Linked DNA regions of Nothobranchius furzeri. The protein of the gene in region 6 interacts with the protein of the main gene of each other region in a pairwise test. Links are inferred from orthologs where the notes say so. Each region holds a gene or a part of one and is shown on either strand. Other genes may lie near its edges. The genes, in order: memo1, ckap5, lsm7, htt, snrpg and tacc1.

Region 1 (3,500 bases), on a different chromosome or scaffold from region 6:
ATTTTCGTTTCGTCTGACCACAGAACTTTCCTCCAGAAGGTCTTATCTTTGTCCATGTGATCAGCAGCAAACTTCAGTCGAGCCTTAAGGTGCCGCTTTTGGAGCCAGGGCTTCCTTCTTGCACGGCAGCCTCTCAGTCCATGGAGATGCAAAACACGTTTGACTGTGGACAATGACACCTGTGTTCCAGCAGCTTCTAATTCTTGGCAGATCTGCTTTTTGGTGATTCTTGGTTCCCTCTTTACCCTCCTGACCAATTTTCTCTCAGCAGCAGGTGATAGCTTGCGTTTTCTTCCTGATCTTGGCAGTGATGAAACAGTGCCATGAACCTTATACTTACAAACAGTTGTTTGCACTGTTGCTCTTGGGACCTGCAGCTGCTTTGAAATGGTCCCAAGTGACTTTCCTGACTTGTTCAAGTCAATAATTCGCTTTTTCAGATCCATGCTGAGCTCCTTTGACTTTCCCATTGTAGCGTTTGTGGGCGTTTGTATCCAATGAGCCCTATTTACCTGGCCTAAGAGAAGTCACCCGCTGTAGTCACTCATAATCACTCACAAGAAGTTAAGAGGCCATGCTATGAAGCTCAGTTCACTGACACGTTTCTAAGTCACCAAAATTGCTAGATCATGTTGCTGTATGTATATTTGTGACCCAGCAGATGTGATCACTTTTCTCTGTTAACCCATAATAAAGACATTAAAGAACCAAACTTCATGAATGTTTTTTGTGACAAAGAAGTATCTGTTCCAATCACTCTATCAGAGAAAAATCAGAGTTTTAGAAATAACGGGACACTCAGTAGAGCCATTATATTATATTTTTTACAAGTGTATGTAAACTTCTGACCACAACTGTAAAATCACACCTACCAGAAACACATGAAGAAATATGGTGTCAAGCTCTTTTATGAGGATTCTTCTAAAACTTTTGACTTTTCAAATATTGAAACCAAAATGGTAAATGGCCATTTGTATGGCGCCTTCTTGGGGTTCCAACCCCCCCCCCCCCCCCCCCCACCACCACCACCACCACCAAGGCGCTTCACAACACAATCAGTTATTCTCGCATCCACACACATTCACACTCTGATGGTGATGAGCTACATCGTAGCCACAGCTGCGCTGGGGTGCACTGACAGGTTCACAAGAAGAAAGCACAACAAATATAATTTTTTTACCACATGTTAACATCTAAAACTGTAATCCAGGGTCCTTCGCCATTATTGCAAAAACAAAAATCTCCCAGTTGACCCAAAATGAACCCTGGGATAGCTTTTGCCTATGAGGGCACACTGGACTCAAGATTCAGGGAATGTGAGGAGACATTTGTGAAGCCTTCAAACTCGGATGGACTTGTTCCTTCAACGTGACATAACCCAATTTAAAATGCGTACTCGGAGGGATGAAGGCCCTGGATTGGGACACGCCCAATGAGACAAATATGGCTTCCAGATGTAGAGGATCAGATTTACACGAAGAAGAACCTGGAGCTAAATTCTGATTGCAGAAGCAGCTTTTTGGTGCCAAAACAGAAAATCTTCAGTTATTAAATGTTTGGAAGACGATAAGGAGCAGCGGCTTTCACTCAGAATAGTTTCTGGTTGGTTTGTATGAAACTCATTTTAACTGATAATTCCAAATCTAGTTTTTGTCTAACACGACGCCGTGTGTTTTACTCTGGTGGTATCTGGACTTTCAATTTTTGTGGATTTCATTGCTGGGAAAAAGTTTCACAAACAATCAGGATAAAGGACAAAGTTCCCATCAGATTTAGGCGTGGCTAACAAACCCGATACTTGTCTAGCTGGTGTGATAACCACACATGCCACAAGCTCCATAATTATAGCATTACATTACCAAAAGCTGCTTTTTGTGTTAAGCTTATGAGAAAGCAGAGCTCAGCCACCAACCAGCAGAAAAGGCTCATTCATCTGGTTTTAACCGTATTATTTAGTCCGAAGTAAGGAAAATGTTTCATTCTGTAGCTTATTTCCATTTAAAGTTGTTTACGGTGAATTGCATTACCTCTCCATGGCTTTTGCAGTATAAGGCAAGTGCATTTCAATGCTGTGCTCATCTTCATCTGTCTGCACACTCATCCTCTCAAACAACCCAGTCTTCCAGAGGTCAGCGTAAACTGCAAGAGAGAGGTTTTACCTTTAATGTATGCATGTCGTCGGTGCGTTCGATTGGCTAAATGACTTTTGCAGCTGCATGTTCTTTCCAGATTCAGAATCTCAATGAGAGCTGAGTAAAATGCTTTAATGCAGTGATTTAGAATGAGTGAGAAGATGTGTACAGTTGCAGTTAGACGGTTAAAATGCACTTTAAATTACAACTAGGCTATTCCATCAATGCATTCACACACACGTCTGAGACACGAATAAGAGTAAATATAAGAGAATAACAGTGAGTACCCTTCTGGTCAATTCTCAGGTCATAGAGCGGTGTTCTATAGATGTCTGCAGGTGACAGGGCACAGCGGGAGAGGGGCACGTGATGTGAAGGTCCCAGAATGAACACCCTACGACTGATCGGAAGCAAAACTTTATCTCACTCACAGGAAAACATTCATCACCAGCACAACCTTCTGTTAGCCAAAAAACATCGGTTTTATTGCTGTTGCAAGATAAGAATTAAGATAAATGATGGCATTTTCACATGAGGCCCGGCCCGGTCCGGTCTTGGTTGGGTCAGCCCATTCCTGCACAGCCAGGTTTTGTTCTGTTCACACAGCCTTCTCAGGAACGTGGATGTCTGTGAGCATGTGGGCGGGGCAAAAGGTGCATTACCAAGTCTGTGGTGTCCTCTTTAAGTTAGTAAACCAAAGCATCCTCTGTCATAAAGCACACTGCTTCCTACTGTCTCACTGAGCAGTGATCATGGACCGTGCATGCAGGAAGTCACGGCTGGTTGAATCTAACCAGCAGTCAGAGGCTCCCCCTATTGGGCAGACATGAACTTCAGCCGGCCAATCCCAGTACACCCGGCTGCAGCACGCAGAAAGGGGCGGCGTCGGGCCAGTTGTCAGACCCGTACCATATTTGGAAAATGCAACACTTACGTTCCGGAACTGAAGTGGGCAGTGTCGGGTCGGCTGTCAGACCAGAACTACGGCTGTTACTAGTTTACGATTGTTAATACTCTGTTCTATGTTCAAATGAAGCAAGATTTGCTACATGGCAAAACCTGAATTTATATCCCAACATGAAAAGGTAGGTTCCTGTCAGTGAATCTCTGCCCGTGGCCGCTCTGATCACAGTTTTGTATTTCTATGGTAGTCCAGTGGCACCGAAATCTGCCTTTGTTTCGTTTCGCCCTCTGCTGACGTTGGCTCGACTCTAGGTGGTGTCGGCAGTCATTTATTTATATTCTAGGTTTTTTTTTTTAATATTTTCTGCGAAACATTTTATGTCTCTAAAGATCTTTGAATGTAGTCGTTTCCAAGCAGCATTTTAGTTGATCCTCTGCTCACACACGGACTCACACTGGCTAAAT
Region 2 (3,500 bases), on a different chromosome or scaffold from region 6:
GCACTGAAACCAAAAGATACCGTGGCTTCCTAGGGGTACCAGAAAACCTTCTGGGTCGCTCCTGTTTACTGGTTTAGGTTCTTAAACAAATATGGAGATTTTTTGCCTGCTGGTGTCGAATTACAAATGCCGGCGCTGCTGCATGAGCTCGGCGCAGACGTGGAAACCTCACGAGTCACTGACTGCAAACTGTAACTAAATCCCTCTTAATTATTTTTGAAGGAGAAAAACTGCAGAACCCCCAGCCAGCCGAGACTGAAATCTGTGGCTGTGCCACCTTCCCTCCAACATTACTGAGACAATAAACTGATGGTGATTATTTCACTGTAGAATTCTTACTTATTGCTCCTTTAAACATGTGGTCCTTAATCTGAGCCAACGGCCTCCGTTGACTCAGCACAAGCAACAACACTGACAAGAGAACAGGTCCTCAGGTGTGAGGTCACCGACTCGAGGGTGGTGTTGGGGGTGTTAGAGGAGACAGCTGAGCCTTTCGACCATCAGTCTGCTGCCACATGCCAGCAGAGCTAAAGGTCAAAGGCTCAGGGGGTTAGGATGCATTCATAAAATCAATGACACCAGGAGGAGGAGTTGTACTCACATCCTATACGTGCGATACATTATTCTGCTCCAGGAAAGAAGGCAGCAGAGCAGAGAGAGGAGGGAATCACACAGGGAGAGAGAGGAGGGGTTAAAGGTGGACAAAGACAGGGTTGCTCTCACAGAGACGTTCTGACTCCGCATGTCGCTGTGAGGGTAACCCAGCATGCACCAGTTCAGAAAACAGGACAGATTAGTCCAGAAAAGGAGATGCTGAAGAAAGGTCAAAGGTCAGAGAGTTTAAACCAGACAAAAATCAATCAATCAGCAGAAAAGAAGAACAGTTTTAAAGATCTGTCAGTTCCACGTCAGCAGCGACCCATCACTGTGCGTGTGTGTGTGCATGGACCTACTTGAGCTTGTTAGGGTCTTCCTGAGCTGGCTTCCGGAGGAAAGTGGCGGTGGAATTGGTTGGGTTTTCCCTCTGCGGTCTGTCAGCCGGCGCCTGTTTGGGCGGAGCTGCAGCAGCCTTCTTAGCCGAGCGTTTGATCCGCTCCTCCAACATGCTCATGTCCTTCTCCGATAGCTGGAAGCAACCAGAGACAAATACCAATCATCCATGTCCTGTTGTGTCCAGTTCTGCCGCAGCATCAGGTCGTTCTTACGTTTCCGATCAGTTTGTAGACCTGGTCGCCGCAGACGTTGTAGACGGCCACCACGGTGTTGAGAGCAGCGTTACGGACGGACGTGTCTCTGTCCCCAATGTGGACAGCAATCTCCTTCAGAGACTTGGCAGGAGTCGGCTGACACACATTCATCCCGTATCCTTCGATCAGACAGCCCAACTCCTCCAGACACTCTGAGGAAACAGAGGTTTGACTCAGATTTAGCTACAAAGACACCGAGCTGCTGATACTCCATTGTGACCTATCTGAGACCTACCAGCTCTCTGCTTGGAGTTCTTGGATTTAGTTCCTTCCATGAGGAAAGGAAAGATCTTGGATGCTGGGTAAACTTTACACAGCATAGCGAGAATGGCCCGAACATCTTTACGAACTACATCCTTAGATTCTCCAACCTGCAGAAGACAAAGTAAAACTCAGAGCCTGATGGAAACCCGTCTGGTGTCCCAGTGTTACGCCCACACCTTCAAGAGCAGGTAGGGGATGAAGGAGTTGGCCTCATACTCCGTCAGGTGGTAGTTCTCCCTGTTCAGCATGGTGAACAGCAACTTCAGATACTCCAGAACCTTCATCAGGACCGTGGTGTTGGTGTCAAAGAAACGAAAGGTGAACCACTTCAGGATCAGGTCCAAACAGCTGATGGTAGCATCGCTCTCGCTCTCCAGCCTCTGTCAGACACAGATGGTTAGAGAGACCAGGCTCCTGTTGGAACGGCAGCAGAAACCGGACAGAGACATTCTACCTCCATCATGACACCAATGGCCTTCACGTGTCTCTGGAAGTCGAAGTGAAACAGCTCATCCTGCAGCCACTTAGCAAAGCAGGTGGACATCTGGGTCTTCAGCTGCTCCACGTACTCGTCTCGAGGAGTGATGAAGTTCCACTTTAGGATCTACCAACACCAAGAGCCCAGCGTTAAACCGACCTGAACACTAAACACACGCTCAACACATTGCAGAACCACGACCGGTACCTTCAGCTGCTTCTCCTCTTTGATTCTCTGCTCCTTGGCATTTGGAACGAGGATGAAGATCGGTCCAGACTTGTCCTCGTCGTCCTTCAGGCCTTTGGCTGCAGGCTTCTTACCAGCTGGACACTGGGTGGGGGCGGGACTCGTTAATGTTTATCAACAGGTTAGTTTTACAGTTAGAGAGAAAAGAGAAATAAAAGGAGTTATGGAGGGAGGACACACACACACACACACACGTTTGGCTGTATTAGTGCACACAGCAGACTGATCTGAGAGCAGCTGGACTAACTGCCAGGCTGACAGGAGTCCACAGAGACGTAGAGGACAGTTTCCTCAGGTGAGACGTCTACCTGTTGGCTTCCAGCAGCAGCCTTCCCTTTGAGGGGGGGCTTTTTACTACCATTACACTCCTTGTCCTTGGGGGGGGCATCGTCAGGAGGGGAGGACTGGGTGGGTAAAAATAAACATGTTCAAACAACAATGATGCGAAAAAAGAAAAACACGTAACATGAATGGAGGTGAGGGGCGTGCACGTGGCCGGCACGTAAAACTTTAGCATAAATGATCAAAAACACATTTTCTCCATCATGACTGAATTCTGACAGGAAACAACTGGGAAGGTGCCTCATCCTGGTTCCTGCGAGCACACCAAGAACCAATGAGGAAGCCATGTGAACTGAAGTACCTTCTTAGCCGCTGGTCCTCCTCGGACCTTCTTCGCTTCAGGTTTACCATCAGGGAGGTCCTCGCTGGCCGCCGCACACCTGGAGGCTGCGGGTGACAAATAACCAGAAATGATCAACAGCCAGGGCTCTAGAGGGCGACCAATCATGAGCGTGTTTGTCACTCAACTAGTAACCCGCGCCTTACTACTTCGCCACAGAACCGCTCATAACAGCGGTTTTCCTTAGCATAACAGCCGCCGCCCACTGGAGCCAGAAACAACCTCGAACTCCCCTTCAAAATAAAACGAATGCATAACTTTACTCTTGCATCTTTACCTCAAACCCTTACAACAATAATAAATCCCACAAATCTCACAACAACACAAAGTTGTGAGATTTGTTCTTTTCTACGCTCTTTAGTCGGTTTAGAGCTTTAATGTTTGAAATCGGTTCGACTGTTCCTGACAGCAGCTACGTTTAAGTGTTCCTGAAGCGTTGCTGCTCTGAGCTTCAGCACGTCGGTGTGGACTCTCCGTCATCCTGAGATTTCACTGAAAACAGCTGGACTTCTCTGGTTATCTACAAGACGTTTCACTTCTCGTTCAAGAGGCTCCTTCAGCTCTAAACCTTGGAGGCTGAGAA
Region 3 (4,051 bases), on a different chromosome or scaffold from region 6:
CACTATTCTAACCTACTTTTAGGAGGTTTCACATCCAGTTAAGTAAAAATTTTGCCATTTTAAAAAACAGCTTCAGTTATCTCACTTAAAACTCATCAGCATTTTGTTTCTGCGTTTCTCCAACGCCAAAATCTACTGAAGATCCTTTCTTTCAAAAGGAACAATCCATAGATATCATTACTTTACACCCCCACCCCAGCTTAATGCATTACTGACTTAAAAGCTGTTAATGCCACATATGTGTCTTTGTGAGTGTGCAGACAAGCTTGAACGGTTTATCTTCAAACACAGAAACTCCCTTTAAACCTAAACACACTCATCTTTTTTTTTACTGCAGAGTTCAGTAGTCTGTAGACCCATCGAGTCAGTCACAACCAGCAGGTAGGGGACGTCTGTCGGGTCAACAAAACCACTCAGATCCTTGTCACCCTTTCGAATAGACCATATCTGGTGTAACTTTCCAACACGTCCTCTGTGTTCAAAGGAGAAAAACATTCAGATTCAGCTTTTTTTCCACTTTATTTTCTTATCAAAAACAAAGAATAGTAAAAAGTTCACTCAGATAACAAGAAATTTGTTTTAACACTTTCAGAACTGGGAGCTCCTCACAACACAAAAATGAGCAAAATTAGCAGGGAAATAAAACTGAAGTGCAACGGAGCCTTATTTTACCAGTGATGAACTTAAAACATGTTTGTCGTCTGAATGACAAGTGTCCTGTAATGTTAAAAAAGAAAAGTCTAATCAAAAGTGTGCCACGCAGCAGCATGGGGGTTATCCATCTTGCTGCTGGATGAATGGGTTAGGAATGGCCTCCATGCCATCCTGAGGACAGATCAGCACCACAGAGGTTCCTCTGCAGACCACCAGCCCCAGCTGTCGGGTGTCTTCTGTCAGCTTCAGCTGGTCGTCTGGATCTGCACACAAAGCCACAGAACGTTCACACTGGAAATGTCAAGCAGCTGGGTGTCCACCAAGCATTTTACCGGAATGCACTCAAAACTAAAACATGAATGGTGAGACCTTTGATTTTTTTGTTTTGACCATCTTCAGTTCAGATGTATTTTTCAAAGATGTTAAGTCCACACAAGACGACCACTTGTAACAGCGATAAAAAACCAACAACATTTGATTTGTTATCACTGTTAAAAATCTGCTTCGACCACTAAAGAACAAACCTCAAACTGAAAAAAGCCACTCATCTTTTGTTTGGGGATTTTTAAATCAATTTAATTTCCCCCCACATGTTTCTGGTTTTTGTTCCACCCGAGTGGCCTCCATGACTCCTCTGAATATTAGCTCAACCCTCCCCTCCAAACACTAAACTGAGAATTAGAAACTTGAGCATTTTTCCAGTGTTTGTTCAAACTAGCATCACATTTTCAACAAATCCACAGTGATGGTAGAGGAGATAGGTGGAGTAACCTTACAGGGTAAGAGCACAAAAAACACAACCAGCTACTTACCTTTACCTGGAAACAACACACTGTTCCAGTAGAGAGGTGTCTACACAATGTTTTCTGTTTGTTTGTACAAAAAGAAAACAATTCCACAGATGCTTTTACACACAGACTTTCTTAATTTTATGAAACTGAAAAATTAATCTTACATACAAGGGCGTGATTTGAAAATTTGGAAACCTTTTTTCAATTTGAAGCCCAGAAAATCTCTCGGATTATTTGATGTTTTAGAATGAATTATTTAGAGCCTGTGAATTTTCTTCTTTTAAACATAGCAGCAACATGTTTTTGTCTACATGTAATTATATGTAATGTTCGTCCACTGAAGATAATCTAAAATTATGTTGCTTTTATTGTCAAACAAGATTAGCACGCACGCACGCACACACACACGTATTCCTGATAATTTACTGAAAAACAAATTAACTCAAAAAAGTGAAGTAGAAAAATGTCTCTTAAACATGCTCTGAACATGAACATAATGTTTTGATCAACATGCTTATTTTCACTAACTGTAGATCGTTTTAAAGATGACGGTAGGGGCGAAATTAATGCGAATTATTACTTTATAGTTATGTGTGTTGGGGAACTTCGGAATGTGTTCAGGAAAAGTCCTTCATCGATATAAACATGGACTCAGACTGAGGAGCAGTTTTCTGGCTGGATTTGAGTTTTGGTTTTCTTACCACGCATGTATTCGATCGTGCCGTCCAGCACCAGGTTCAACAGAGGATCAAATCCTTTCAAAACGCCGCTTGCTGAGAAGAAAACACAAATTTTAGGCTTCCACATAAGGAAATCTAGACATTTACTGCTTGCACGAAATGAAAGGGTTAGCAACAGCTTGGTCCACCCACCCTCTCGTCCACCTTGAAACTTCACCCGAATCGTCTTGTCGATATACTTGGACAAGTCGAAGATGCTCTCCTTCTTTTTCTTTTCTTTATCCTGCAGAAAGGCCAGGTTACATTGTCTTAAGTCACTAATTAATCACAAACAAAACGTAGCCTTAGCTTAGCTCACTACTAGCCACGTTATTTAAGTAAAACGTCTACCGTCACAGCAAAATAAAAGTTGTTCAAGTCGACTTTTGTTCAGAAAACAAAGCTAAATCTTAACAATACAAATGTGGATGTGAAAAGATAAAAAGTAACACAATATAATGAAAGCCATGGATTACGAACTCACCGCCATATTTACTGTCTGACCCGGAAGTAAATCTTAGACCCTAGGAAATGATAGTGATCCAATGAGATAACGCGTTCAGAGGGTTCAGAGAGGTCCAGCTGTAGACCATAAAAAGTAAAATGAAACAATATTGATTTTTGTAAAAGTCTCGGGACTACCATCTCTACTAAAACGTAATGAGTTAAATACACACTCATGTGATTGTCTTAATACGCTGTCAGGCTGGGAAAAACGTTCATCTTTCTCAGCTGCATTGTGCGTTAGCTAATAGCTACAGGCTACAATCTCAGAAGAAATCTACGCCCTCCAGTGGGGATAAACTGCAACTACAATCAGGTTCTAAGAAGCTAGAAGGGAACGTTCTAGTCTCATGGCAATGAAACTGGGGGGGGGGGGGGGGGGGGATCATAATCTGTATTTTTGTTTCTTTTGGTTGATGGAGATGGAGAAGAGAAAACTGCCTGTAAATTCTTTCTAAATAAAACGCTATAACACTTTTGTTATCAGCGAGTGGGAAACTCGCTCTAACAGCCTTTTTCGTTTATTATTTAGCTAAATTCACAATCAAAACAGTATGTAACAGTGTTAAAAACTATGCTAATACTGAGTTCACAACTAAAGACAGTTGGGGTTGCCGATCAGCTTGTATGTTTTTGGTCTGCTGGAGGAGCATGTACCCAGAGCAAACCCACACATGCATGGAGAGAATGAAAGGCCGTAGCCAAGGTTTAAACCTATGACATTGTTCCTGTGAGTCACCAGTGCTTCCAACTGCCCCACAATGAAACCCTTTTTAAAATAAAATGTATACAGATGAAACTCAAAAAATTTGAACATGGTTCAAAAGTTTATTGATTTCAGTATAAAAACCTAAAAGGTGAAACAAATTCATGAGATAAACTCATTCTATGCAAAACCAGATATTTCCATCATTTATTTGTTATAAGTGTGATGATTATGGCTTACAGCTTACGAAAACATCTAAAACTAAATATCTCAGACAAACAGAACGTGCGAGAAGGTTCAATACTCTAGACTCAAAGTGTCGCACTCTAACCAGCTAATTAATCAAAAACATCTGCAAAGGGTTCCCGAGCCTTTAGATGGTCTCTCAGTCTAAGATGGATTATTGAAATAAGTGAACTTTTGCACCATATTCTAATTTTTTGAGTTTCAGTATTGTTATTGGGAAAAAAATCAATAACCAATAAAGGCTCTCAGCATGGAGCTTGCTCCAGTCATTGACATGAACAAGCCAGCACACTGAATTAGCTTGGTCATGACCCACACATGACTACTATTAATAAACCCTGACTGTGTACCAGTTGGTGGGTTGCAAACCACAAGTAGGTCAAGATATTTTGGTGAGGCTGTTTGCAATGACACCGCCTGCAGAGGGGACT
Region 4 (3,500 bases), on a different chromosome or scaffold from region 6:
GTCATACATTGCAAGGCCTTGCACCTGGTTTGTGTTGAGAATGAGGGTGTTTCTCAATGTCAAGGCACCTGGCCTTGCAAGGTGATGTCTTGCGAGGCCAGGTGCCTTGCTTACGAGGACCTTGGTCAAAGAAAACGGTAAAATGGAACAGACTTGCATCATGTGACCGCAGCTTCCACGGCGGTCACGTAACGTCACGTGACACGGAAGATAACGTTATATTTCATCTCTATTAGTTGCAATATAAATATATAACGAGCCTTTGAATTTTTAAATTGTGTATATGTTAATTAAATTAAAAATATAAGCGAGTTACTACCCGCTAGCCACCGAAGCTGCAACTACCAAGCAACTAACAACCATAGATAACTCTTAGGATCTAAAAAAAATTTTTTAAATTAGTTTACTTACTTTTAAACTTGAAAATTGTCCCCGAAGTAGCTGCCGGCTTCTGATCCACTGTCTTTTTTCAAAATACAGCGGTGTATTGTGGGTAATTTTTGACCAAGGCTAGGCTACAAGACCCCTCCCGTGTGTCCTCGCTCAGCTAGCTAAACGGCTAACAAACGGAGAACACACGCCTCGGTAGAACACGAACATTGGAGCATGCCTTGGCGGCTCCCGATGACGTATCTCCTAGGCAACCGGGGCGGGGCCAAGACATCACGGCGAGGTTCCTCGGCATTGAGAAACACTCTGACTCTGCTAGCAGCGTGAAACGGAGGTCTGGTGGCCATCTTGAATCGAGTTGACTCGGTGTTTCCTCGAAGTGAATCTGGTGAAAACTTCCTAAGATATTTAGCAAACAGACATGCCACGTTCCAGTGTGGTATTTAAAGCATCATTAATCCGTTTACAGTCACAATATTTACAAACTGCATATTTGCTAAAATATCTCCTATTTTGGGTGATTCCTGCAGTGGACCGTGACCTGCTGTGTTTTATGCTGCATCCCTTTGCAGAGCGACAGTACGTCAGCGACGTTCTCTGCCTCATCACCCACGGGGACCCCCAGATCAGAGGAGCCACAGCCATCCTCTGCGGAGCCATCATACAAGCTGCGCTAACCAAAACACGCTACAACATTCACACCTGGCTGGCCAGTGTGCAGCGTGCAACAGGTTAGCGTCTGCTTTTTCTGCTGCTGGCATTCTAAACCTTATAAAAGTAGCTCATCAGGTCTGCCTGCTCTTTAGGTAACCCTTTGTCCCTGGTGGACTTGGTGCCTTTGCTCCAGAAAACTCTTAAAGATGATTCCTCTGTCACCTGTAAGATGGCTTGTTCTGCAGTCAGGGTGAGGTGGACCCGTGTGCTTTTTGGGTCTCGGGGCTCTAGCTGCAGTTGTGAGTCTGACTTTTTTTACTACTTGTGGGTGTTGCAGCACTGCATCATGACCCTCTGCAGCAGCACCCTGAGTGAACTCGGCCTGCAGCTGGTGATCGACCTCTTTGCTCTGTGGGACTCTTCCTACTGGCTCGTTCGCACCGAGCTCCTGGAAACGTTGGCTGAGTTAGACTTCAGGTAAAACAAACTCGAATACCCAAATCCAACATCTCAAACACTGACGAGACTCCAGATATTCTGTGTGTCTGGAGGATTTCCACATGTTAAAGTTCCTGATTTTTCTTTAGATTAGTCGGTTTCCTGGAGAGGAAAACAGAAACTTTACACAGAGGAGCTCATCACTACACTAAGGTAGGTTCAGACCTGTTTTCGTCCGTGTTTCTGTTATTAGTCCGGAGCTTTATTGTTCTGGGTTGGTTGATGTTCTTCTAGTGGCTGCTGCTGCAGGACAGAGTTCTGAATGACGTGGTCATACGTCTGCTGGGAGATGACGACCCAAGAGTCCGGCACGTGGCGGCGTCTGCTGTCAGCAGGTGTGTGACGGACTTGTGTTGATGCATCAACTGCAGTACCTAGATCTGACCACAGAAGGTCATTCTTCCTTCATGCTGCTTTAAGCTAGTTTTATTTCCTTGTTTTAAATCAGGGGTCGGCCGCGGCTCTTTTATCCATCTGATGCGGCTCCCTTCTCGTAAAATAATGAATGAATATTGAATATTATTCATTTTTTATCTGTATGCCAATTCTAAATTTAAAGATTGTCAGCGTAAACCGGAACAGGTCCAACAGCTGACAGGTCACCTGCAAATGTCTCTATAGGGGCTTTCTGAGTTGAGAAGGATGTGAGATTCTGGACTTTTGCCTCAGACAGGCTCATGAATGCATCGCTGCGTCGCCACATTGGAGACAGGAACAAGCGCTATTCAGCCAAAGTTTCATAATAGAGTACATTTTCTAAGAGACGAGTCTCTCTAGCCTTTTTCAGATAGACATTCTGGAACATTTGTGGACAATTCAATCCGGTTTTTAACCGGAACTGTGTTTTCAGACACACCACTTTTGTACCGGAACTTGTCCTTTCGGCTGCGTTCACACAGCAGGGAAAAGTTCCAGATGTCTGACGGCGGCGGGGGGTGGGGTAGGGGCGGAGAATCTGACTTATGTTTAGAAGAAAAAGAAGAAGAAAATATCATTTCTATAGCGCCTCTCCAGATAAAAATCACGAGGCGCTTAAGCATAATTCTGCGCACACGAAGACGCATAAGAGACCTGGATGATGAAGCTCAATGGTTAAAGGAATCACTGAAGCGGTGTGAAGCGCTCCATCGCGCGTCTAGGCAGTACCGTAGGAGGCAAGCTGCCGTGGTTCGTCGCATGCTACAGCAGCGAGCTATCTAGGTGCGCACAGCGTCCCCGTTCCCCTCCTCCTTCCCCTCCCCCTTGTCCGGAACTTTACCTCACCAGTCTGAAGCAGCCACCCTGTCTGTAACAAGTCCGGACCTGTTACTAGGGGTTTCGTCCGGTAAAATTCCGGAACACCTTATCCGGATGTTTGTATTCAGACACAGAGGTCTTACGGACAGAGTCCGGAACATTTCCGTTTTTCATGGCCTGTCTGAAGGGGGCTTCTGAGAGACACGGTTTGGGAAACACTCGCTTCAGTGAGAGGAATCTTCCTGCATGCGCACCGGTTCTGCAACGCGCTCCAAACCCCCGATCTACACATCAGCTGAATAAATCTTCAGCTCGCTGTCCACCTTACGCATGCGCTGAGCTCAGTGTCCAGCTCTGATGGGAACCTTTTCTTGATTGACATAACTACTAGGGATGAGCCGGATACTGGTGTCAGACGAGTATCCGGTACGGATAAAATATTTTTGACGAGTACGAGCATGAAACGAGTAAAACTCGTAAATATCTGTAATCGTGCTGAAGGAAAATCCTCATTGGGTAACTGACTGAGTTCCCGCTCTGTGATTGGCCAGTCAAATAGAGTGCCCGCCCCTCCCTACACACAAAACTGCAGTGGGAGCTCACAGCTCAGTCCGCGTCCGGTCCATCCACGCGCGCGCACACACACACACACACACACAGACCATAACGGATCTCTCTGTGCTTGCTTCACTGTTCACGTTTCTTCAATACTCCCTACGTTT
Region 5 (4,139 bases), on a different chromosome or scaffold from region 6:
ACGATCTAAGTGAGACATCCTCATCTTAATCTGCTCCGGTAGGTAAATAACATGTTTAAGATAACGTTAGCTCGATATGTTAGCTTCCGTTTCGCTAATGGTGTGTTCGCTTTCTCCTCGGAACTTCGAATTTCCGACTGGAATAACATGAACGCGCTCTAAAGTTTGGCTTCACTTTACTAAATGCGACGGGTGATTGGGTGAAGATGAAACCAGCGACAACGATCTAAGTGTGAGGCATCATCGTTTTAATCTGCTCCAGCAGCTAAATAAACTGTTTAAGATAACGTTAGCTTGGTATGTTAGCTTCCATTGCCACCGTTGTTATCAGCTAATGGTGCGTTCGCTTTCTCCTCGGAACTTCGAATTTCCGACTGGAATAACATGAACGCGCTCTAAAGTTTGGCTTCACTTTACTAAATGCGACGGGTGATTGGGTGAAGATGAAACCAGCGACAACGATCTAAGTGTGAGGCATCATCGTTTTAATCTGCTCCAGCAGCTAAATAAACTGTTAAAGATAACGTTAGCTTGGTATGTTAGCTTCCATTGCTACTATTGTTATCAGCTAATGGTGCGTTCGCTTTCTCCTCGGAAATTCTAACTTCCCAGTAGGAAAAATCAAATGAAAAAGACGGCAAAAGGAATGAAGATACACAGTAAATTTAGTTCACAGTAAAGACGTTTGCTTCAGTTTAATTATCAGCTTATAAAACTACAAGGACCATGTTAAAATACAAACAGTTGTATGTTTTTTATCGTGATATTTATCAAATATGGTTATATATTGAGAAAAATATATATTTAATTATAAAAGAGAATTAAAATAATAAACACTCAAAAGTATCTAAAATTGATACCGTTAAGTACCGGTATCGATTCCTAGGTACCGGGAATTAGTACCGGATCGATTCAAATGTCAAAGGTACCCATCCCTAAGTCTGACTGAGCGCTTCCAGGAGAAATTATGAAAACAATAACGCGTGTTTGGAGCATCGGTTTAGAGGAGCGTCCTGCGATCCTCTCGTGTGAGTAGACAGTCTCTCTCTCTGATCGAGCGGAGCGCGCCACATGACAACCCGCTCAATTAACATAATTCACGGCCCAAATCCAACAGAACCGGTCGGGCTGATTTGGTTCCGGCTCAGGTTACAACTCTAGCGCTCAGCAATGCAGTACCACATCAAGGCGGAACCACGTGGTAAATGTGGAGGACGCTCACTCTGACAGATGCTGGTGCCGCCGTTAAAAAAACAAAACTACATTCCACTATAATCGATTACGGCGTACTCTTCTACGATTTATGTCCGCATCCCGATGCATCGATTATTTTCCTCAGCTCTAATTTGAATGCAGGAAAAACCCTGCACAATCTTCACAGAACCCCTGCAAACCAAGCTATTTACCCCAATTATGCAGCTAAATAAACAAAAGTAAATACAAACATTTAAAATCTAACCAAACATTAGCTGACATGCCTAAAAAATGATTTTACACCAACAGAATGATCTCTTAAAAGTTATCAAAGAAATATATTTATTATTGCGCATGTGTATACTCACAATTGCCTATCCCTAGACTCACTCTGTCAGTGTTTGAGGCAAGCAAACGACCGGATGCAGTCTAACTTCCTCCAGTTTAACAAAGACGAGACTGAAGTTATCGTCTTTGGGAATCAGAAGGTTAGGATGGACGTTACTGCTCAGCTCGGCTCCAGAGGAACGAAGACAAGGCAGCTTTATGTCTCGAGCACGTTTCAAACACAGAGGCAATCCTATGTGCTTTACAGTCACCAGGACATGATAAAACACTAACTACAACACACACAGATAGAATTACAGTTTAGAGCTAAAGGACAAAGACTCATAACTGATTCAGACCTGAGCTGCACCGGGTCAGAACCAAGCAGGGTGATGCTGCACACAGATGAAATCAGCTTCCCCGCGAGCTCAGATGTGCCCCATCTCTGGTCTCTTTATTCATCTTCCTGTCAGTCGTTGCTCCTCGTGCTGCACCTTCTGCTCTGGTGTTCCCAACCCTTCTCAGCCTTTTGATTTGACTTAGATGGATTTTAAATCTGCTGGTTTTTGTCAGACTTGCTTCATAGACCCAGACCAGGCTGAGCACCACGGAGGACAATGCCCTCCACCCTCTAACCTTTAACCCTACCCTGAGAGTTTAAGCACACCCCAACCTACAAGCGGCTTTTAAGAAGGACTGAAAACGTTTCTCTCTAGTAGATCTTTTATAGTAAAGCTTTTCATCTTTCATAATCAACATTTTCCTTTCCTCTAAACGCGTTGAGATTGTCGTGATGTAAAGCGCAACACAAATGCAATCGATTATTATTCCGTCACGTGGTTTTAATGTTTTAGCACCTTAAAACTATAAACTCTTCATAATCACAATAGGGGCTTTAAAGACATATTCGTAAAACGCCATACTCACATGAAAGCTTTTTATCCATGAATCTGAAACATAAAACAACATTTCAGGCGACGGTGGTTCACAGTTCAGGCAGGGTTGCTAATGTTAGCCTCATGGTAAAGAATGGAGCAAAGCTAACAGGCTAACACGTTCTTTCCGTTAAAATCGTGGAAACAAAATTAATAATTTCTAATTGTTATTTTTAAACACGTGAACTTACTTCTTCAGCTCTGGCGGGTGTGCTTTGCTCATTCTGTATCGTTTTTTGTACCGAAGTCCGGTGAGCTAGCTCGTCGGGGTTACGTTGAACAAAACCGCGGAAGGAAAATGTGACCGGAAGTGAAGCAGTTAGCGTTTACAGTCCCACTACGCCCCCTCGAGGCGGGGAGGAGAACGTGTTAGGGTTGGATCTGCAAATATCTGCAAGAACACTTTGTTTCAAACAACTTTTACAATTTTATTGTCAATCTTACAAAAAAGCAAAAGTAAACGTAAGTATTACATATTATACTGAAATGTATTTGAAATGTAAAACGATGTTAATAAGTGCATATTTTATGTTCCTTCTACCTTATTGTTTGTATTCAGTTGACCATTTATTTTGCTGTTGAACGACAGAGATGCATTGTGCTGCCTGATTTTTACCTGTCAGACCGGAGTCCCTAGCTCCCAGCAGTGTCAGCTCAACTTCGTTCTCTTCTTTTCCAGGATGGAAATCTGTTGTGCAGTTTGTATAATTTACACAATTTAACCTAATCTTTAAAGTTATTCTTTCATTTCTGTAAATTCTCATCAAGTTAAAAAGTATAGTTAAAATTAAGCAGATTCAACAGATAACAGGAAGAAGAGCTATTTTTGACAAAGTAAAAAACAACAAATAAAATTCAGTGAAACCAAGTTTGACTATGAAAACTCATGGAAGCCCACAACCAATATCTAAGAACACAATAAAACCAGATTGTGATTTCAAGAAGGCAACTGTAGAAGTCAAGTCCATTACTCGAACTCCTGAGGCTGCTAGACCGGGACCTGGTTGACGCTCTGTGTTGATCCGATGTTGACTAAATTACTTGAACAGCCTTAAGCGTGGAGTTGTTATGATAATGCTTCTTGTTTAATGTTGATTGCATTCCAGGATGTAACAATGATAGGAGTAATCCGATTACTTTCCCATTCAAACGTCTTCATGCCACAGCGGTCAAAAACCTGTTTGCCCTTCCGGAATAGTGCCTGACGCCAACAATGACATCACTACCTTTATTCCGACCAGTAACAATGACATCACTACCTTTATTCTGACCAGTAACAATGACATCACTACCTTTATTCTGACCAGTAACAATGACATCACTACCTTTATTCTGACCAGTAACAATGTGATAGAGTGGGAACTCTGGAAGTTATTTGCTGATCTGACAGTATCTTCAAGATAAGGGCTCCGGTCAGAGAGCAGGGCACGGAGAGACAGTTTTACGTATTTAATGACAGTTGAAGTATGGACATCTGTACATTTCTGTGGTTCCGTGTGGTCTGGAAAATAAATACAAAGAATGATGTAAAAGGATTGTACAAATGGTGAAGTAAATATGCCAACGTTTAAGACTAAGCAAAAACAAATATATTCCCAAATGATGCACATTCAAGGGTAACACAGAGTAAATATTGTGACTTCCAGCCTCAGAGGCACTGACAAATTATATGATCTCCAGGGA
Region 6 (4,239 bases):
TGTAAAATAATCAATGTGGAAAATCCCACAGTTACGGACATGTAATAATATAGTTATTATGTGTGCGTTACTGTGAAAAGAGCTTTTAGTTTACTGCAAAGAGTTCATTGACTTAATTGTCTATTTATTTTTTCAACTTATCAACTATGTATGTGTAAAAAGTGTGAAAAGTGAGAAATGCAACTACAGTGGCCGTAATCGTTTTTATGACATGATAGGTTGATAAAACTTTTCTTGAGTTTGGTGTACAAATAACTGATATTGTAAATAAATACCCTAAATATACACAAAAGTGCAGCACTGATTTTTTTAAAACAAAAACAGGTCAAGCATCCTAAAAGTGTAAAGAAACTTGAGTAAATAATTGTTAGGAGCATCGTGTACTCGTTTAGTTTAGCTTGACAGAGCGGTTATCCTAAAACTACTGATGCTCAGAGCTGAATTAGACTTTAGCAGAACTGCAGCAGGAGCAGAAATGGCTCTTGGAGGTGTAACCTAAGACACTAACCGAGGACATGTTCATGCTACGATCCCTAATCACACATCCAGACCAAACAAACAATGACATCACCAGCATGAAGACTTCCAACTCATCTGTGTTTAAAGTGAAAAGTACAGTTTTGTAATCATCTTGCAAAGTTTCTGGAGTCGTAACAGGAGGCTGCATCCTGCAGCTCTGGAGGTTCCTTCCTTTTAATTTTAGCCAATTATTTTGAAATATGTGCACGGAACTGTGGTGCATGTGTGAAACTTCTGATTACTTCAGCATGAAATCAGGCATGCTGTGCACAGCTTCCGTTGGTTCAGTATCATAATCAGTCTGAAATGGCTTTGTCATGTTCTGTGTCCCTTTGTTCCCCAGCCCCTCCAGTTCCCACTCCAGGTTCTCCTTTTGTGTTTCATGGCACCCTCATGTGTTCTTTGTCTGCTTCTTTCCCCATGTGTCTCATTATGTTTCTCCATCCCTCTCTGGATTCCCTTTTGTGTTCTCTTAGCGCCCTCATGTGTCCTTTGTCTGCATCTCTGTTATGTGTCTTATGTTGTAGCCCTTTAAAATCATTCCTCCCAGGTCCTGTCACATCCAGTCATCCTCAGCCCCTCTAGTTGTAGCTCCAGCCTCTTGTTCCCCAGCTCAGTATATGTGTGTATGAGTTTATGTGTGTGTCAGTATGTGTATGTATGTGTGTGTGTGTGTGTGTGTGTGTGTGTGTGTGTGTGTGTTTGTTTGTCCGTCCCAGTCAGGTCTGGTGTCCTGCTCTGCTCCTCTCCTCATTAGTGATTTCACCTGTGCCAGTTCTCCACACACCTGCTCCTCGTCTCCTATCACTCCAGCCCCAGTGTATAAAGCTTTTCCTTGTCTCATTGTTCTTGACGGTCCATTGTCGTTGTCAGTGTTGTTTTTGTCCGTCTAAAGTGTTCTCCTGAGCTTACTCGTGAAAGAGCTTCTGTTTTTCCTTTTGCCAGTGTTGCTTTTGGATTTATGCCCAGCCTCCTAAATAAAAGGATTTTTACTTCATATCCACTTCTGCCTCGTGTCATCCTGGGTTACTGCATTTTGGGTCCAAACCATCCTCTCAACGTGACAGGCTTGAGTTTTAAATCGCAGTGATCAGTTTTGGGCTAGAGCTAGGTTTTTGTTTTAATTAAATCTAAGTTCATTTTGTGTCTGTATGTAAATTTAATTTTAGTAGAAAATGTAAAAAAACGCCTTTTTCCCATGGAGGTTGGAGACATGAGTGTTAGGACGTTCTGTTTTTGTCACCCCGTGTAAAGAACAAGATGTGTTACTTTTTTATAGCATCTAATCCACCTACAGTGAGCTTTGCCTTCATCTTTAAGTTATCTGTTTCTGTGAACCAGAACAGGAGAAAAGAACATAAAGTTAAACTTACACAAAGGAAGAGGAAGCAGACGCAGAGCGGCCCACTACTTCCTGTTACATTCTAAGAACAACGCAGAGCAAAATTCAAGCAGTGTTTATTGTAGACATTTGAAGCACTTGGATCTGTCTCAACTCTGGTCTTCACAACAAAAGTGTGTTTAGATTTGATCTCATCATGTTGGAACAGAGCAGCTCAATGATACACTATCTGAGCAGGTGAGAGGTCAGCAAAGGACCAAGTTGTGTTTGAATACACGTGGAACAGAGGTAACTCAAGACTCAAGACAACTTTATTAGTCCCCGAGGGGCAATTCGAGACAGCATTGAGAAGCAGCCGGCACTAAAATCTCTAAATTCTAAAAACACAACCAATTTACACATTTGTAAATATAACACAGTCATCACAACACACACACACACACACACACACACCCTTCTGACCCGTCAGACTCTAACTCTTCATGATTAGAGGTTACTCAACCTGAAGCTGCTAAAGTAGGACCAGACAGTGATGATCACACCAAGGTTTCAGCTCAGCACTTGCCTGCAGCTTTGGGATCTCTCCTCCACCTCCTCTTCCGTTCTCCCAAATTGCTCCCCATCCCCACCAGCCTCCTCTTCATCCTCCTCTCCTCCTCGCACTGCTGTCCACGTCCATTTGGCCCACGACACAGGTGACAGCCACGACATCTCTCCTTATTTTGCAGTTCTTCGACCCCCAGCAGCCAAAGGTTTGTTCCTTTTCTGTCAGACTCTTCCTCAGATCTCCTCCCAGCCAACAGCTCTCACATTCTCCCACAAGGCTTTTCCCTTTTCACGATTCCTCAGTTCCCAATGAAAGAAGAGAGGCATCTCTCTCTCTTTTTTGTTTTAAATAAAACAATCTGTGAATCTTCAATCTCAGTCACTTCCAGTCACGCTGACTCTCCCTCTGTAGCAGAATACCTCAGGTCTGATCAGCTGGTTTCTCTGCTCCCTCTCTCCTCCTCTGAACCCCCTCCGCCCTGGAGCAGCTCACTGATGGAAAACGCAGGCGTGGGGGTGGAGGCGGTAAAACTGACTGGTGCTTCTCCTGACTCTGCTAAATGACTTCCCCCTGTGGTTGGAGAATGGTACGTCCCTGTCAGACCGTTCTTCCACTTTGAGTCAGAAGGAGTGAGCCACAAAACAAACACAGAGGGAGGAAGAGGAGGAGGAGGAGCTGAACTGCTGGGGCTCCACATTTAATAGTCCAGAGAGAGGTTAGGAATGTGAGCTTGGATCTAAAAGACTTATTCACCACAGCCTCCCTCCCTCTCTCGCCCTCCCCCAGGCTGTAGCTGTTAACCCATCCAGTAGCAGACAAGTGAGACCAGGAGAACCAGTTCTGTTTTGTGGCCTCAGGTTAATTACCAGACTGGTGTAAAAGTCTGAAAACTAGTGAATACACACATATTCACACAATACAGTCAATATTAGGTGGTTAAAAACCTGTTGTACTTACAGACTGATTAAACAGCTGGGAGGGTGACACAACATCACTCATCCCACTAGAGCTGTTTAAGGCTGCTAAAAAAAGAAACATCCATAACCTTATTGCTGAAATAGTCTGGCTGTTCACCATTAAAACCCTAAAACAAGTCAGAGAGCAGTCTGTCTGGAAATGGTTTAAACAATATATTCATCATGAGCTGTGGACATTATTTTGTAAGTTTACACCAGTTGAGGTGGCTCGGGCACCTGGTTAGGATGCTTTCTGGATGCCTCCCTGGTGAGGTTTTCAAATGGGAGGAGGTCACGGACACGATGGAGAGGCTATGTTTCTCGGCTGGCTAGGGAGCGCCTCGGAATTCCCCCAGAATTGATCCAAGTAACTGGGGAGAGGGGAGTCTGGGCCTCTGCCCCCACGACCCAACCCCGGGCAAGTGGAGGAAAATGGATGGATAAACGTTTACACCTTGACCACGGGAGCAAGTTTCCAAAACATCTGATAGAAATAACAACAGATTCTAAAAGTTATTTAACTTAGATCAGATGAATAACACAGGTGGAGATGCAAGCCGTGGCTATTATATACCCAATTTATGCAAATGTTTCTTATTGTGAAAGAAAATTGCTGTAAAACAGAGATTTTAGGACAGATTCCAATTAAAAACTATAGGTTTGCATGAACTGCATGATTTTTGTTTACATCAGAGGGGCAGACAGAGGATGTACCAACTGTGGGACATCCACTGTTTTCACAGAAACAGGCATCAAAAATCAAACTTTATCTGTGCATTTGGTAACATTTCATTTTATTATTTGTGTGTTTGTGAAATATCATTAACAGATTCATAAAATCTGGACACATTTGCACACTTAAGGTGAAAAACAAC

Evidence for each region.
Region 1: the proteins of tacc1 (region 6) and memo1 interact in binary tests that used the Homo sapiens proteins (3 or more experiments, as listed by UniProt). The two-hybrid records come from large-scale screens. The link is inferred for Nothobranchius furzeri from reciprocal best matches to the Homo sapiens genes TACC1 and MEMO1.
Region 2: the proteins of tacc1 (region 6) and ckap5 interact in binary tests that used the Homo sapiens proteins (3 or more experiments, as listed by UniProt). The link is inferred for Nothobranchius furzeri from reciprocal best matches to the Homo sapiens genes TACC1 and CKAP5.
Region 3: the proteins of tacc1 (region 6) and lsm7 interact in binary tests that used the Homo sapiens proteins (3 or more experiments, as listed by UniProt). The link is inferred for Nothobranchius furzeri from reciprocal best matches to the Homo sapiens genes TACC1 and LSM7.
Region 4: the proteins of tacc1 (region 6) and htt interact in binary tests that used the Homo sapiens proteins (3 or more experiments, as listed by UniProt). The link is inferred for Nothobranchius furzeri from reciprocal best matches to the Homo sapiens genes TACC1 and HTT.
Region 5: the proteins of tacc1 (region 6) and snrpg interact in binary tests that used the Homo sapiens proteins (3 or more experiments, as listed by UniProt). The link is inferred for Nothobranchius furzeri from reciprocal best matches to the Homo sapiens genes TACC1 and SNRPG.

Annotation. Positions count from the first base shown.
Region 1 is NC_091752.1:1,582,739-1,586,238, forward strand, and holds part of memo1 (protein MEMO1), read right to left. Parts: intron 2,533-3,500; coding exon 2,420-2,532; intron 2,140-2,419; coding exon 2,028-2,139; intron 1-2,027. UniProt on the Homo sapiens protein: May control cell migration by relaying extracellular chemotactic signals to the microtubule cytoskeleton. Mediator of ERBB2 signaling.
Region 2 is NC_091744.1:80,665,906-80,669,405, reverse strand, and holds part of ckap5 (cytoskeleton-associated protein 5), read right to left. Parts: intron 2,965-3,500; coding exon 2,879-2,964; intron 2,640-2,878; coding exon 2,544-2,639; intron 2,320-2,543; coding exon 2,197-2,319; intron 2,116-2,196; coding exon 1,966-2,115; intron 1,892-1,965; coding exon 1,688-1,891; intron 1,619-1,687; coding exon 1,483-1,618; intron 1,400-1,482; coding exon 1,206-1,399; intron 1,127-1,205; coding exon 954-1,126; intron 626-953; coding exon 602-625; intron 1-601. UniProt on the Homo sapiens protein: Binds to the plus end of microtubules and regulates microtubule dynamics and microtubule organization. Acts as a processive microtubule polymerase. Promotes cytoplasmic microtubule nucleation and elongation. Plays a major role in organizing spindle poles.
Region 3 is NC_091748.1:58,320,411-58,324,461, forward strand, and holds lsm7 (U6 snRNA-associated Sm-like protein LSm7), read right to left. Parts: upstream 2,759-4,051; 5' UTR 2,655-2,758; coding exon 2,649-2,654; intron 2,409-2,648; coding exon 2,318-2,408; intron 2,219-2,317; coding exon 2,147-2,218; intron 918-2,146; coding exon 775-917; 3' UTR 501-774; downstream 1-500. UniProt on the Homo sapiens protein: Plays a role in pre-mRNA splicing as component of the U4/U6-U5 tri-snRNP complex that is involved in spliceosome assembly, and as component of the precatalytic spliceosome (spliceosome B complex).
Region 4 is NC_091746.1:25,523,101-25,526,600, forward strand, and holds part of htt (huntingtin), read left to right. Parts: intron 1-962; coding exon 963-1,121; intron 1,122-1,196; coding exon 1,197-1,294; intron 1,295-1,381; coding exon 1,382-1,521; intron 1,522-1,631; coding exon 1,632-1,695; intron 1,696-1,776; coding exon 1,777-1,877; intron 1,878-3,500.
Region 5 is NC_091755.1:44,512,057-44,516,195, reverse strand, and holds the start of snrpg (small nuclear ribonucleoprotein G), read right to left. Parts: upstream 2,801-4,139; 5' UTR 2,680-2,800; coding exon 2,648-2,679; intron 2,472-2,647; coding exon 2,449-2,471; intron 1-2,448. UniProt on the Homo sapiens protein: Plays a role in pre-mRNA splicing as a core component of the spliceosomal U1, U2, U4 and U5 small nuclear ribonucleoproteins (snRNPs), the building blocks of the spliceosome.
Region 6 is NC_091743.1:54,552,009-54,556,247, reverse strand, and holds the start of tacc1 (transforming acidic coiled-coil-containing protein 1), read right to left. Parts: upstream 2,801-4,239; 5' UTR 2,573-2,800; coding exon 2,427-2,572; intron 1-2,426. UniProt on the Homo sapiens protein: Involved in transcription regulation induced by nuclear receptors, including in T3 thyroid hormone and all-trans retinoic acid pathways. Might promote the nuclear localization of the receptors.